Linked DNA regions of Alligator mississippiensis. The protein of the gene in region 2 interacts with the protein of the main gene of each other region in a pairwise test. Links are inferred from orthologs where the notes say so. Each region holds a gene or a part of one and is shown on either strand. Other genes may lie near its edges.

Region 1 (7,923 bases), on a different chromosome or scaffold from region 2:
ACCCGCTGGGACAAGATCGTGCTGAAGAAATGGTGAGTGTGGGACTGGGTCAGGTTTGGGCAGCCCAAGGGCTCCTGGCGGCTGCCAGCTTTGGCCCCAGCAGGTAAGTTCCTCCTTTTGTCCTACCCAGGGAGGTTGCCCAAGTCCTGGGTGTTTTTTGATGGGCCCCGGGTTTGATCCAGTCTTTAACTGTAACCATTTCCTTGTGGTGCTGACTGCAGCTGCTCCCCCAGAAGCGCGTGTCCATCAAGGCCGTGGGCTGTGACATGTTGGGGGAAGAGGGGGTTGCTGTGAGGGAGATTTTTTATTAGAAGTTGAAACAAAAACGATGGGTTAGCAGGAGTTGAAATACAGTTAAAACCTTTAGCAAACATTGGATTGAAGTCTTTCTATACCCTGAACTAGAGCTCTTTGTATTTATCCTGTAGGTGAAATGAAGGCTTCTTGTCTTGTAACAGCACCTAGGGTGTCTCTTCCCTTCCATGCTTTTTGGGTTTGATGATTGCTGGCTATGAAAACATTTTGCTTATGAAACTCTGGCCTTCATATCTCAACTGCTCACTTTTTTTTTTATTAAATAATTACTATTGGGAAATATTGATAATACAACAGTAGTCCCTTTATTGGCTCCATTTCCTTTTATTGAACCTTGTAACGAGCTTAGGTGTTTTAACTTCCTTTCAAACTCTTGCAGGTACACCATTTTCAAGGATCACGTTTCACTGGGAGACTGTATCCTTAAGCATCAGAGTGGTCTAGGTAAAATGCATTTTAAAGACATCAGCATCTTTTAAAGCAAACCTTTTAGAAAACAGGTGTCACTCTCTAAGTACTTGAGAGAGAGACACATTGCATGTACACAGTCAGACAGCACCCCTTCCTTATCTGATATTGCTGCTTGTCACTAATGAGATGTCTTGTTTATGTTCTTGGCCACTGATTAATGGTAACGGGTCAGTCATGTAGCACAGTGGTGATTATTTAGGAAATCTCTTGGTACAAACACAAAAAACCCTTTGGATTAACTTCCCAGTTTGTTGCTTCAGACATTAGCACTTACAAGCAGCACATGAGTCTCAGACTCTTTTTTGTGAGGCCAGCAGTTTATCCAGGTTGTGACATGGAATAAGAAGAATCATGTTGCTGAGAACTTGTGCACTTATCTAAGAAGTTTCCTGCTGTTGTTGATTTTTGAATCGTTGGTCTGACAGATGTTCATATCTAACACCCTCTGTTTGTATTTAAATATATTTCCATGGGAATTCCCTTAACTTTTACTCTTCAGATGAAATCCATGATGGCATGAACCTGGAGCTATACTATCAGTAGTTTGGACTTGAGCTGCAATTGTATATGGCAGGCAGCACACTTTCTGCTTTCCTTCTAATATTAAACATGTCTATATATTTCCTTATTTAGTGTAAAGTGCAAGTGAAAAGCTCCAGCTGTGCATATAGTTTAGTCAGAGCTATTTGGCTTTGGCAATAACACAGGCAGCAAACATATAACAAAATTGCTTATGTTCTTAAATTTGTGTTTGTAATAAATGTTTCCTGACAGTTGCAGTGTCCTGTTCATGGCTTTAAGGCAGACAAAATCTCTTTCTTGGTAACTTCCACAGCAAACCTAATTAACATAGCTAGTAGAAGACAGCCTTGAGCTTTCTGAAATAACATGAAAGCTGCTCTATCGCCATCTCCTAGGCTAGACTCATTTTTGGTTGAGAATTGAAAACCCAGAGCAAATGCATTTAATTCAACTTAGAAGCAGTCTGGGTTTTTGTTTGTTTTTTTGGGGGAGGGGAGGGGAGTGGTAATTTATTCTCAACAGAAACTTCAGTGCAGTGGTTAAGGTATGATCTAGACTGACAAATGCAAAAAGCAGTTCCCATTACATGCCTCTAATGGAGCTGCTGACCATTGTGTGTTACGCACTATTGTTTTTCAATGATACTTCAAAAAAAAATCCCACTCTGCACTGCTCATTTAACACAATCGATGTGAATTGCCTTGGGATCCCAGCCAAAGCAACAAGATTGGGAGTGAGACTGGGATGAATGAGAGGAATCCATTACAAAACACTTTAAAAGGAGTATTTCAATGTGTGTGCAGACCCCCAAACCCACTCTTTCATTTTACTGAGCTTATTTCTGTGCTGCTCAGTAATGTGTGTCACGTGCAGTAGAGCAGCTGCCTGCAGTTAATAAGCATGTTTAATCAGCTGAGATTGAAGTTCAGGGCAGCAGCAGGAGATGATTTTGTCTTGATGTTTTCCAGAATTAAATGGCCAATGAGAGAAAGCAGCCTCTCTGTGCATTTCTGAGTCAGCCTAAGCACAGAGGCAGGGATGTTAAATGAGACTCTCTCTTCACAACAGCTGTTCTCTTTCTTATTTAAAGCTTTCCACTGACAAATATGGATGTTTATGGTGCCTTTTAAGTAATTTATTTTCCTGTTGGTGAAAGTAGTGAGTCTTGGACTGTTTCAGAGTCCTTTTAACCAGAAGGCCCAGTGAGGCAAGCTTTCCTAATCATGATATTCCTCAACCCTAACTTTGGAGATGGGTTAAGCAGGAAGTTCAGGTATTCTTCTGAGATCAACATGAGTGCAGCCTCCTGTGGACATGCAGCATTTGTTCAATTGGATCACGGCTTAGAACAGGAAGCAGAGAATTTTGTACCTAAAACTGCAGGGGGAAATTAGGAACTGCCTGGACTGGAATTGAGGCAGGACACCTGCTTTTACTTTTGTATCTTATGAAAAATTGCCAAAAGGAATGTCATAGCTTCGATACGGTATCCCACCCCATACTGGTGAACAAGTTAAGAGGCTGTGATGTGGATGACTGCACAGTCTGGTGGGTGGCGAATTGGCTAGAGGGTCGCACCCAAAGAGTCGTGGTGGATGGGTCGGTCTCGACCTGGAAGGGTGTGGGCAGTGGGGTCCCGCAGGGTTTGGTCCTTGGACCGATACTCTTTAATGTCTTCATCAGCGACTTGGACGAGGGAGTGAAATGTACTCTGTCCAAGTTTGCAGATGACACAAAGCTATGGGGAGAAGTGGACACACCGGAGGGCAGGGAACAGCTGCAGGCAGACCTGGATAGGTTGCACAAGTGGGCAGAAAACAACAGGATGCAGTTCAACAAGGAGAAATGCAAAGTGCTGCACCTAGGGAGGAAAAATGTCCAGCACACCTACAGCCTAGGGAATGACCTGCTGGGTGGCACAGAGGTGGAAAGGGATCTTGGAGTCCTAGTGGACTCCAAGATGAACATGAGCCGGCAGTGTGACGAAGCCATCAGAAAAGCCAATGGCACTTTATCGTGCATCAGCAGATGCATGACAAATAGGTCCAGGGAGGTGATACTTCCCCTCTATCGGGCATTGGTCAGACTGCAGTTGGAGTACTGCGTGCAATTCTGGGTGCCACACTTCAAGAAGGATGTGGATAACCTGGAGAGGGTCCAGAGAAGGGCAACTCGTATGGTCAAGGGCCTGCAGACCAAGTCCTACGAGGAGAGACTAGAGAAACTGGACCTTTTCAGCCTCCGCAAGAGAAGGTTGAGAGGCGACCTTGTGGCTGCCTATAAGTTCATCACGGGGGCACAGAAGGGAATAGGTGAGGATTTATTCACCAAGGCGCCCCCGGGGGTTACAAGAAACAATGGCCACAAGCTAGCAGAGAGCAGATTTAGACTAGACATTAGGAAGAACTTCTTCACAGTTCGAGTGGCCAAGGTCTGGAACGGGCTCCCAAGGGAGGTGGTGCTCTCCTCTACCCTGGGGGTCTTCAAGAGGAGGTTAGATGAGTATCTAGCTGGGGTCATCTAGACCCAGCACTCTTTCCTGCTTATGCAGGAGGTCAGACTTGATGATCTATTGAAGTCCCTTCCGACTAACATCTATGAATCTAGCTAGAAAAGGTGCATGTCACTAGGAAGGCAGCAGGTGCAGAGCTACTAGCGACTCAGAGGGGAAACTATCAAAATGCAAATTTCTGCAGCTCCCCCCACCACAGGGAGCAGCCAGTTGGCTCCAGCCTGATCAATACAATGAATCAGAAGGCATGTACATTTGCACTTTACACCTCATAGATTAAATCAAAAATCCATAAACTTCATCTCTTGCTGAGCAAAGCTTGTGCACCTATGATTGCATCTGTGCATTTAGTCTGGGGAAGATGCAAACCTCCCTGGCCTTCCGACCTGCACGGCTCTCCTAGAGACAGTGAAGGACAGGCTGGAGAGGGTCCTTCATACTTGAACCTTAGTTTAAGTAACAGCAGGAGCTAGTAAGTGGTAGTCATCGGGACAGCCCGTTTTGCTCCCGTAGGCCTGGCTGGCCCCTTGCAGCACCTGCTGCAGCCTGCTCTTGCTTCTGACTGCTGCAAATCTCCCCTGCCTTCGCCTGCGTCTCGCCGCGGCCCAACCTGGGCGGCTTGGCGATGGGGTCCAGGCCGTATCCAGAGCCCAGGCCGCGAGAGGCACCCGGCCTGCACAGCACCAGCGCCTGCTCCGTGGCTCTGGGTCATTTGCATTTTGCAAGGACGGTCAATTAGCCTCCTGGGGGCGCCCCTGCGCGCTCCCGCGGTTAAGGCACCCCCGACCCCGGCTGGGAACCGGGGCACCTGGCACCGCCTGCACTGAGGCCCCGAGGGCTCCCCGGCACTCCTCAGGCGTTCCGCAACGCCCCTTGTCCCTCCCCGGCCGCCGTCGACATTCGAGCTACCAGAACCTGAATCTCTTCCGAGATTATTGCGGCCTAGCGCTCCGAGTCAATCAGGGCTGGGAGGGAAGGGGAGTGTGTTCTCCACCAATGAGCGACCTGGAGGTGGGACCACGATCCCCTCTGAGCCAATGGCCGTTCGCAGCATCCTGCCCCGGGGCCTTCCTCTAGCCAATGGGTGGCAGCGCGTGCGGCAGCGGGGAAGAGGCTGGGAGGAGGTGCCGCGCGCAGGGAAGATGGCGGAGGAGGAGAAGCTGCCTGCGGGCTGGGAGAAGCGCATGAGCCGCAGCTCAGGTACAGCGGCGCGGTCGGGCGTTCGGCCGCGCGGGGCCGGGGCCGGGCGCTGCGGCTGGGGGGCCGCGAGGCCGGGGCGGGCTGGGCCGGGCCCCTGCGGGGCTTGGGAGGGCGGGGCCGGGCTGTGGGGCCGGGCCGCGCCGCTCTGCTCTTGATGGGGCTTGGTGGGTCCTTTGTGGCCCCGGCAGGGCCCGACCCCGCGGTGCCTCGCTCCTTTCCTCGCCTCGTGCGGGGGGAGGGGCCGGGGAGCTGCCCCGCGCCGGCAGGGGGAGAGGTTCTGGGGAGGGATATGCGTCGTGGGGGCGGGGGGGCGGCTCTGGAAAACGCGCGCTGATCCCGGAGCTCCCTCGGGAGCCCAGGCGGGTCTAGGCCCCTCCCCGGCCAAGCAGAGGTTTGTCCCCTTTGTCGTGAGACTAGAATTGCCTTTTGCTCCTGCCCCCCCTCCCGGTGTACAGAGACCCGGCCGTTGTCGGGGTTTTCGTCCAGTGATTGCAGTGCCCCAGAGCTCTGGACCCGGGCTGGCACCTCTTAGGATGTCGGAGGTGCTCACAATTTGTTTAGTCAGAGTCTGAGCTCCTGCCAGTGCATGAATGAGTGGACCTCATCCTGCGGGTTGGGGACCCTTTACAGTTGGTGCTCCAGCAGTGCTGGGACATTGCTTTAGCTGTCTTGATCTCAGAGCAGTGTCCCCAAACTCTTGGCTGCTTCTGGGAAAGCCTGCCCTTTCCTGATAAAGAAAGGGCTGATTTGTTTTGGAGGAGTGTCTTCCTCACTTCCAGCCTGCAAAGGTCAGTTCAGGGTCAGGGGTCCCTTGTTTGTGTAACACCCAGCATAGTTAGAGGTGATTGCTGCTTTGAAAACTGTGCCCTGTTAACTGAAGGATCTGTTTATTAGGATACTGTTACCCCCTAAATGTATCTAAATACATAGGCAGGCAAGGTTCTTTGAGTAGATGTGATGTTTTTTATTAGACCAACTGAGTACTCAATGGGTCTAATGAAAGATACCACATTTACTCAAAAAACCTTGCCTGTCTATGACCTTAGACCAACACAGCTACAACCAAAAACCCGGTCTAAATAGATAGGGATTTTTGCCATGCTTTGTGCTCTCAGTTGCAAGCTGGATTGGAATGAAACACAATCCCCCTGTGTCAGAAACTCGGCACCGTTCACCTTCGCTGCAGGGGTAAAATGGGCAGAGTTCCACTATGTCGCTGTGCTGCTTCTGAAGATGTGTTGGTGTCATGTGACTCAGGAAAGCTGCAGGCACTTGCTGCTTCCATAAGAATAATCGGTGCTTTACAAATGAGCCAGCCAGCACTTAAGCTGCTGCTGTTTTGGGAAGGTTTCAAGAGTTTTTGACATAGACCCTGATCCCACTTTCACTGAAGTAAAAGTGACTTGCCCAACTTTGGAAAGGGAGATGGTGTCAAGAGTCTGGTTTTGAGTAGAGCAGCTGCTTTGCTCAGGGCATCTTTGTTTCTCACTAGAAAACCTTGGTAGAGAGTTCTAATAGACTGAAATCTGTAATGCTGAGACAGCCTGTTATTATGGGGATGTTAAGTATTCCCAGCCTCTGCACTGATTCTGCAGTGAGCTGACATCCACATTTTCACCCACCTGCAGAAATCCAGAATTTATCTGCTGCGATAAGCAAGAGGCTATTGCTGTGGATCTTCTAAAGACCTGGTTTTCTTTTCCTTCTTGTTTCTAGGCCGTGTGTATTACTTCAACCACATTACGAATGCCAGCCAATGGGAGCGCCCCAGCGGAGGTGGGAAAAATGGCCAGGGGGAGCCGGCCAAAGTGCGCTGCTCACATCTTTTGGTGAAACACAACCAGTCCAGAAGGCCCTCATCATGGAGGCAGGAAAAGATCACACGGACCAAAGATGAGGCACTGGAGCTTATAAATGGCAAGTAAAAGCAGGAGGCAGATTGATGTTATTGTGAGGGAAAGTCATGTTAAGGCCAAAAATGAGCACAGAAATAAGTGGCTTATTGGCCTGAACTCTCTAAATAAAAGTTTTTTGAGGCAAGTGGTTTGAACATGGACTTTCGTGTAGCACAGCCACTTGGAGAAACACTTTTGCTGCATGATTTGCTGATCATGACTAAATGACTTAGGAATAGAACCCTCCCTCCCCCTTCCATCCTCATGCCAGTTTCCCCCTTTATGTTTTTGTAATGTTGTCAGAGGCTTGTTTGTATTTTCTTTGTAAATGTATATTTTTATATTAAAAAATAAAGCAATTATTTGATGCTAAAACAAGTGCTCCTTAAACATCTTCCTTTTTTTGTTTAATATTTATTTGCCTGTTTGTCCTGGTGGCAGTTACTGTAAATTTTGATGAATCTCTGCCTGGGACTGAACCCCAGGTATAAACATCTTGAATATCTGTGGACAAGTAAATTTCTTGGGAGTGAGGGAATTGCATGCCTTTCCTGCTGTATATGGGACCCATCACAAGATACATCTTCCTTTGCAGCGCCAGCAATAGTTTCTAACTATCCTGTTTCCTAATCAGTGAATTTGGGCCTTGTGGGGCAGAATTCTAATTCTGGTTTACTGTTGGCACTCTTCATTGAGTTCGGTGCAAGGGTCAGAGGATCTGTGGTGAAAGTCTCCTGACTTTGCACCATGGCCTGTGTTCCAATCTATAGCAGTCAGTCTTGACTTGTTATGAAAATGAGTTAATATTCTGTGAAGTGCTTTGAAGTTGTAGGCAGACAAGGTTCCTTGGGTGAATTTGATATCTTTTATTAGACCAACCCAAATGGTTGGAGAATAGTTATTAAGCAAGCTTTCGGGTTCAAAAACCCTTCGTCAGGTTTTTGAACCCGAAAGCTTGCTTAATAACTATTCTCCAACCATTTGGGTTGGTCTAATAAAGGATATCAA
Region 2 (7,466 bases):
AAGGCAATAAATACCCACTAATTAAACATTTTTTTAAAGAGAGGCCAATAAGTTGACCAGAGCCTAATTAGAGACAGCCATTACTCCGGATGCTAATTACCTGGAGAAATAAAACAAAAAGCCCTGGATTTGTTTATCTCTAATCAGAGACAACTAAAGAAATGAATGAGAAGTGATGGCTCATATGATCTGACCCCCTAACACAAAAATTGAGCTGGTAATTGAATTATTTGCCAAAAGCAGCTCCTAAAGACCCATTACCAAGCTGGTTGATTGTCCAAGAATGGCCTGTTTAATTAAAGGGGTAATGCCAGAGGAACCTGGGGGCCAGGAGGTTTGGGCACCTCCTTGCTCATGTTTGGGACATCAGACGAGCTGTTCATGCTGCGGGAACTGGCCTGTGGGAAACCTGGGCACCAGTGGTGATGAGTTGGTGGGCATAGCTTGGTCTCTTCAGCCCATCAGTGAGGGACAGACTTGATCCCGACTCAACAAGGGGAAAGCAATCAAGGTTCCTTCAAGATCCAGCCATCGTCAAGGCTTGATCTCTTCCGCTGGATCTCTTTGGCCCATCAACCAAGATCAAGGGATTGACTCGATCTTGACCCAATGTGGGGAAGTGCCAAGGTTCCTTCAAGATCTAACCAAGGCCTGATGGACGACAGCTAGATGTGGGCACTAACTGCTAGAAGATATCACCAGGTGAGGGACCCTTGGACGTTGTTCCACTGCCTCCCTGGGAGAAAACCCCAGCAACCATCACTACCACCTGGCCTTCATCCCCCAATGAAGCTATCAAACATCATTCAATTGCTGTTGGCAACACCCTAGGTTTGCCAACTTGGTTCTCCTCATGGTCATAGGTGAGGCTGACCAACTACCACCATCTGACCCTCTGCCAATCCCTACCGTTGGGCAACATCTCTCCTCACTGCTTGTTCCCTATAGCACAGCTTCCATCTGATGAATGTTGCTGCTGTCACCACTGCCATCTTGTGGCTGCCTCTGGCACTCAAGAAGCCACATTGGGATCCAACTCCTATCTTGGCAGCAATCCCCATTAAGATGGCTCCCACTTGAGCAAGGAACAGAACAGGAGGTAATAGGCATATATTGCCTTTAGAAGTCTCAGCCAGACCAACCACCCCTTGGCCTTCACCTCCCCGCCCCCTCCAAAACAAAGCTATTGAGCAACGTCTAACCACCATTGGCAGCATCCTATGGGCATCGATACAGGTATCCTCGTGCTCACCAGGCAAGTGAAGCTGGTCCATCACCACCATCCAACCCCTCTGTCTACCCCCATGGTTGGGCTCGGTGATGCCTCTGTCCCGCGACGCTCTCCGTCACTGCTCAGTTGCCATCTTGTGGCTGCTCCCCAGCACTCAAGAGGCCATCTTGGGAGCCGGCCACCATCTTGGGAATGATTCCTGCGAAGATGGCTCTCTCTTGAGCAAGGAATGGGACAGGAAATAATGGGCATGCAGTAATGGGACATGGCCTTCAGAAGGCCTGGCCACCCCAACTGTCCGTGCAGACAGGTCAGCTGGCCCCAATGAGTTTGACCCCCTGCTCTAGGCTGATACAAGTCCTCTAGCTCTCCTAGAAAGGAGGAGTGGGAGGCCTACAATACACCGAAGAACCATGTTCCCGTCTTCTTCCCGTCCCCAATACTCATTAGCTTAACTGGGAACACTGAGAAGCCGCTCAAACACAGAGGCCTTCATGAGGAGAAGACACAGAGGAATCTGGCCTCCAAGAACTGACCCCAAGACCAATTGTGATGGGGAACTCGGCTGTGCCATGCTCCAGATTGGTCAGTGGCAGGAGCATTCAAGGGTTGAAGGGTGCCAACCCAAAGAGCTGGATGGCTTAGCTCCGCCACCATGAGGGCCAAAGATCTGGTGGATCCCTTCTAAGCAAACAGAGCCATGGGATTCGATTCTGCTCTAGGCCAATTCTCTGTCTTGCCAGCGAACCCGGTGGTGGCTCCTCTTGGTGCCAGACCCACCCAAGGGAGCCATGGGGAACCACACGCTGGATGTGGGCACTGCCCCTCCTGTGGGGAAGGTGCCTGCCCTGCTGCCACCCCCAAGGGCCCAGAGTTGCAGGTGACCTGGGTTGGTCTAGCCCATTGGGTCCCCAACATCCCACTATCAACCCCCCAGCAGGGAGGGAACCCAGGCATCTGGGCTCCCAGCACCACCTTCACCCCCCCCCCCCCCCCCGCCAAAACAGGGAGAGAACCCAGGCATCCGGGCTCCCAGCAGCCCCCTCCTCTTCTCTCTTCAAACAGAAAGGGAACCCAGGCATCAGGGCTACCAGCAAACCCTGCCTTCCCCCCCAAACTAGGAGAGCACCGTTGTGTGCAGACTCTCAGCAACCACACCCCCACAAACTGGGACACAACCTGGGCTTCCAGCCCGCCCCACTCCTCCCTCCCCAACCCAAACAGAGAGGGGACCCAGGTGTCCCCCCCGCCGTGCCAGGACCAGGAGAGAACCCAGGCGTCCGGGCTCCCAGCCGCCGCCCCCCCCATCAGCCCCTCCTCCCCCGATCCAAATCAGGTGCACGCCCCCCACCCCCAGGGACCCCCAAACGCGACCCCGCCCCTGCCCCTCCCCCACTCACCGGCCCCCTCCTCCGACCCCAGTTTCCCCCCAAGTTTGGGACTTTCCGCCCGATGCAGCCTGGGAAATGGACGCGCGGGGGCGGGGCCAGCCCGGCGCTGGCCCTTTAAGGGACCCCGGACGCCTGGGTTCCAGCTGGAGCGGCTCGGATGCGTGGGTTCCTCCCTGCAGCCTCTAGGGGCGCGGGGGGGCCCGGGACGCCCGGGGTCTCTTCCAGCCGGGGAGGGGGCTGGGACGCCTGGGTCCTCTCCCAGCTCCGACACACAAAGGGGGGGAGAGGGCGGCGGCCATTGGCTGGGCCAGAGCTCGAGCCACCCCGGATGTCCCCGCGAGGGGGAGGGGAGGCGGCCCGGACGCCTAGGTTCCCGTGGGGGGAGCGGGGTCTAGGAGGTGAAAGGGCGGGGGGAGGAGCTAGGAACCCGGGCGCCAGGGTTCCCTTCATCCCTCCCCCTTTTGTTTCTGCAGCTGTGCCCTGGCTTCCTGGTGGGGGGAGCTGCAGGTCGGGAGTGAGGGGCACCAGCAGGGCTAGGGGGGAACAGCCTCCAGGCCTCCATTTCTCTTTGCCCCTTGCTCGATTCGCCTCCTAACCCCCCCCCCCCCCGCACCCAGACCTCTGGGGTCATGTGGGAAAACAGAGGCAGCGCAATAGTTATGACTGGAGATGGGGCTGGGGTCCATCACGTGTCACCCGTGGTAGCTCTGCACCCTTGCCCCTCCGGCTGTGGCTGGGAGCTCGATGCCTGGGTTCTCTCCTCCCCCCCACAGGGGTCCCAGAGACACCCCGGGCAGCCCCGCGCTGTGGGTAGACAGATGAACACTAGGGACACACCAGCTTGGCCAGTCTAGACTTCATTGTCTTTATTGTCAGGCAGTGCGGCCTCCATGGCAGTGGTGCACCCATGCCCAGCATCCTCCATGCAGGGGTGCCTCTGGTCTGGTGGGAGGAGCCCCTGGTGGCTATGCCCCCCAGGTGTAGCTAGCCCCGCCCTCAGGGGCAGATGGGGAGTCCTGCCCCCCATCAGGCCATAGCTGCGGGGGGGAGGAGGGGGTGCCTCTGGGCAGAGTGTATTTCAGGGCACTTTCTTGTGGTGCAGCTGGGGGGCCTGGCTGGGGATGGGGGGCCTGGCTGGGACCTGAGATCCTAGGACCAAGGCCAGTGTTCCTGGCTGGCGGAGTGGGGTGTAGTGGAGGGGTCACGGGCCTCGTGGGATCATGGGGAGGGGGACCCACCTGGGGTGTGCTGGGATGCCCTGGCTGGGATGTGCAGGGCTGTGGCTGGAGGCTGGGGCCAGGGTCCCATCTGGGGCCGTGAGCCTGCAGGAGAGGCGGGGTGTGGAGGGTGCAGGTTAAGAGTCGCGGGGCCAAGACCAGTGGTCTGGGTGAGGGCCATGAGCTGGGTGGAGGTCCCGGAGGGACCGGGGCGGTGTTAGGCAAAGCGGCTCCAGTCAGGAAGGGGCAGGGGACTAGGGGGCAGCTCACGGGGGGAGCCAGCAAGTGGCACGGTAGGGCGCAGGGCATAGTTGTGGCCTTCATTGTTGTCCCAGAACTCGGCGCCAGCAGTACGGTAGCGCAGGGCAAACTCCAGGGTGGCACCAGGCGGTGGCAGGGGCAGGCGGAAGGCAAAGCGGTCAGCACCAGGTGCGGCGGGTGGGCAGGCACCAGGGGGGGGTGGCGCAGGGCCGGCGTAGGCGGCTGGGGCCTCGCGCTTGCTGGCCCAGCCATCCCATGTGTAGCGCACGCTCACCCGCTTTTCATAGGCCAGGTCCAGCACGCGTAGTGTCCCCGCCACGCCCACCCCCTCTGCCCGTGCCCCTTCCAGTGCCACCGCCTGCGCTGCCAGCCGTGCCCCCACCTCTGCCTCTGCTGCTGCCCATGCCCACGGCGCTGCCCCACTGCTTGCCTGCCGGGGAGAGAGACAGTGGTCAGCAGCGAATGGGTGGGCACACTGCCCCCATCGCCTGTAGCCACACACTTCACCCCCAATGGCCCTGCCCCCAGCCTGTAGGCCCACCCCACAGTTGCCTCATAGCCCCATCCCCAGCACCCTTATAGCCCTTCCCCCAGCCTGTAGGTCCGCTCCAGCAGCATCCCATAGCCCACCCCCCAGCCTGTAGCCACAGGCCCCCCATAGCCCTGTCCTAACACACTCACAGCTCCATCCCCAGCCTGTAGCCCCACACCTGGCATCCCATAGCCCCCCTGCTCCTGGCCCCCACAGCCTGTAGCCTCACCCCCAGCCCCCTGCCATTCCCCCCACCTCTCCAGTCTGTAGCCCCACCCCCTAGCAATCCCATAGCTCCACCCCAGCCTGTTGCCCCACCCCTCACCTTGATGTAGGGCAGGCAGGGTGGGAAGTGGCTGAGGGAGTCCCGCCGTAGCTGGGCCTGGACGCGCTCGGGCACCTCGGGCAGCTGGGCTGGCCAGAACTGCCGCACACTGGCCAGCTCCAGCCCCAGTGCGTCGGCAAATCGTACCCGCTTGCGCGCCCCGGGGCTGCGTGCCCGCCCCGAGCCCCCCCCAGCCCCCGCCCCTGGCCCGGGTGGGGCAGAGTGAGCCCGACGGCTCTGGCGGGTGCGGGTCCGGCGGGTACGGAGCCGGGGGGCACGGGGCCGGGTGGAGCGGCGCGAGCGTCCCTCGGGCTCCGAGTCCTCCGAGTCGTCAGCCAGGCTGGGCCGGGCGGTGCGGTAGTAGGCGCGCTCGTACAGCCCCGCGATGTAGCTCAGGTTGCGCGGGATGTCACCCCGTGGCGGTGGCGGGGGGGTGCCCGCCATGGCCCCCTCTGTCGCTTGCTGGGCACCCTCCCTCCTTCCTGCGCTCACTCTGCTGGGTGTTGTGTCCTTCTACTCCTCTGTCACAGGTCTGCCACCTTCCCTCCTTCCAAGTCTTGCTTTGCCAGGCTGTGCCCCTCTATCCCTCCGTCACCGTCTTCCCCGTTCAATTCTTCCGAACCTGTCACTCCACCAGGCTCTGTGTGCTCCCGTTCATCCGTCTCTGGCCTGCCACGTTCCCTCCCAAACCTCTCACTCCATCAGGCTCTGTGCGCTCCTATTCATCTGTCACAGCCTGCCACATTCCCTCCTTCCAAACCTTCTTGCCCCAGGCCCCGCCTCCTTCTGTTCCTCCGTCCCTGGCCAGACACACTCTCTTCTTCCGAAGGTCTTGCTTCAGCAGGCTCCGTGTCCTATCCTTCCATCACCAGCCTGGCATGTTCCCTCCTTCCCAGCCCTTCACTCCACCTGGGCTCCGTGTCCTCCCACGCTCGCTCTTTCCAGCCAGCCCAGCTTTAGCCCTCCATCAGAGCTCTGTCCTGTGGTCTCTCTCTCCACCACGCTGCCTCCCGCACTCCCTTCTTCAAGTTCTCTCTGTACCTGGGGCCTGTCTTGTTCTTTCTTTCCAGCTTCACAAAAGCTGTTTCTCCGTCATGCAATCTTCCACCTTCCGGCGTGCCTGGGTCTACCTCTCTGGCTGGGTCTGTCTTGTCTCTCTCCGTCAGGCAGGTGTCCACATTTCCTTCCCCTGAGCCACCCGTTACTCTCCCTATTGCTCCATTACATGGTCTTCCACATTCCCTGCTTTCCCAGAGCCCAGTGCTGTCCCTTCAGCAAGGCTCTGCCTCATATCTCTCCATCAGATGGTCTTTCACCTTTCCTTCCAACGGGCTTGGCTCTGTTCCTCTGTCTGGGCCTGTCTTTTTGTCACACCGTCTTCCTCCTGGTCTCTGTCCGTCTGAGCGCTGCCTGGTTCTGTCTCTGTCCCTCCGCCCTCTGTCTTCTCCTCTGCCAGGGCTCCCGTCTCCTGTCTCTCCCTCTGTGTGATGTATTGCTCCGCCTGGCCCTGAATCTCGATCTCCCTTTCCACCAACAGGCTTTCTCCTTCCCTTTCTCTTCTGCCTCTTCTGACCCATCTGTGCCAGCTCCTCCCTCCCTCCTTTATTCTCTTTCTCCTCCTGCCTTTCTTTCAACATCCCTCCATCCCAGCAGCCTGCAAGTCTACTTGGGGATCACCTCTCCACCCTAGGCCCTGATCAGCCAGCCCTGTGGAGGAATGGGGAGGGAGCAGAGGGCAGCAGGGAGCTTCCCCAGAGCATGAAGGGTTAAGGCAGAAGGGACCCAGGCATCCAGGCAAGCCTGGAACAGCAAGTCCCTGCCAGGCAAAAGGCCAGCAACCAGGATCAATAATAAAGGAGGTGAAATAGCTAATGGAAGCCCAGAACTAGCTTGGGACTGCCCTGCCCCCCCGCCAACAAACCTGGGCTGCAGGTCAGGAGTGCGGGGTACCAGGGTGGTGCAGTGGGCTGCAGGTTGGGAGTGAGGGGCACCCATAGGCTGCCATTCAGGAGTGAAGGGCAACAGCAGGGCTGTCGGCTAGGAGTGAGGGGCACCATGTAGACACAGTGCCCATATTGTTGTGGGCCAGCCGGGTTAAGAGGCTAACGAGCTTCTGGAGTCATTAATCATGCAAAGAAGATGCTGGTGCATGAATAATGAATGAGATGCCCAGGCTGCAGCCTTCTCCGGCTACCGCACCCTCCCAGTTGGGGGTAGGGCAGTGCCTGCTCACGCCAAGGGCAGTCATGTTGGTCCCCTGGCCATGCCCACAGCAACCACATTGCCTCCATGCAGTGGTGAGGGAGCAGGGCCCTACCCCTCAGGCTGTCTTGCCAATGCTGTTGCCAATGGGCGGCCATGTTGGGTTGATGTCAATGGGTTGGCATCCTGTCAGCAGGGTGAGCCTCTTGGCCTACCCTATCCATTGCTTTGGGGTCAACGGGGCAAGCGGGATGGCAGCCATGTTGCTGAGGGAGGATGCAGGGCTCCAAGGCGTGGGAGCCCCGAC

Evidence for each region.
Region 1: the proteins of HOMEZ (region 2) and PIN1 interact in binary tests that used the Homo sapiens proteins (3 or more experiments, as listed by UniProt). The two-hybrid records come from large-scale screens. The link is inferred for Alligator mississippiensis from reciprocal best matches to the Homo sapiens genes HOMEZ and PIN1.

Annotation. Positions count from the first base shown.
Region 1 is NC_081831.1:22,016,046-22,023,968, forward strand, and holds the start of PIN1 (peptidyl-prolyl cis-trans isomerase NIMA-interacting 1), read left to right. Parts: upstream 1-4,910; 5' UTR 4,911-4,962; coding exon 4,963-5,020; intron 5,021-6,736; coding exon 6,737-6,937; intron 6,938-7,923. Other genes in the region: UBL5 (ubiquitin-like protein 5), read left to right, coding at 1-32, 695-732, 1,286-1,329. UniProt on the Homo sapiens protein: Peptidyl-prolyl cis/trans isomerase (PPIase) that binds to and isomerizes specific phosphorylated Ser/Thr-Pro (pSer/Thr-Pro) motifs.
Region 2 is NC_081830.1:7,415,781-7,423,246, forward strand, and holds the start of HOMEZ (homeobox and leucine zipper protein Homez), read right to left. Parts: upstream 3,017-7,466; 5' UTR 2,632-3,016; intron 2,190-2,631; exon of another isoform or gene 1,253-2,189; intron 1-1,252. Other genes in the region: PPP1R3E (protein phosphatase 1 regulatory subunit 3E), read right to left, coding at 4,057-4,530, 4,958-5,401. UniProt on the Homo sapiens protein: May function as a transcriptional regulator.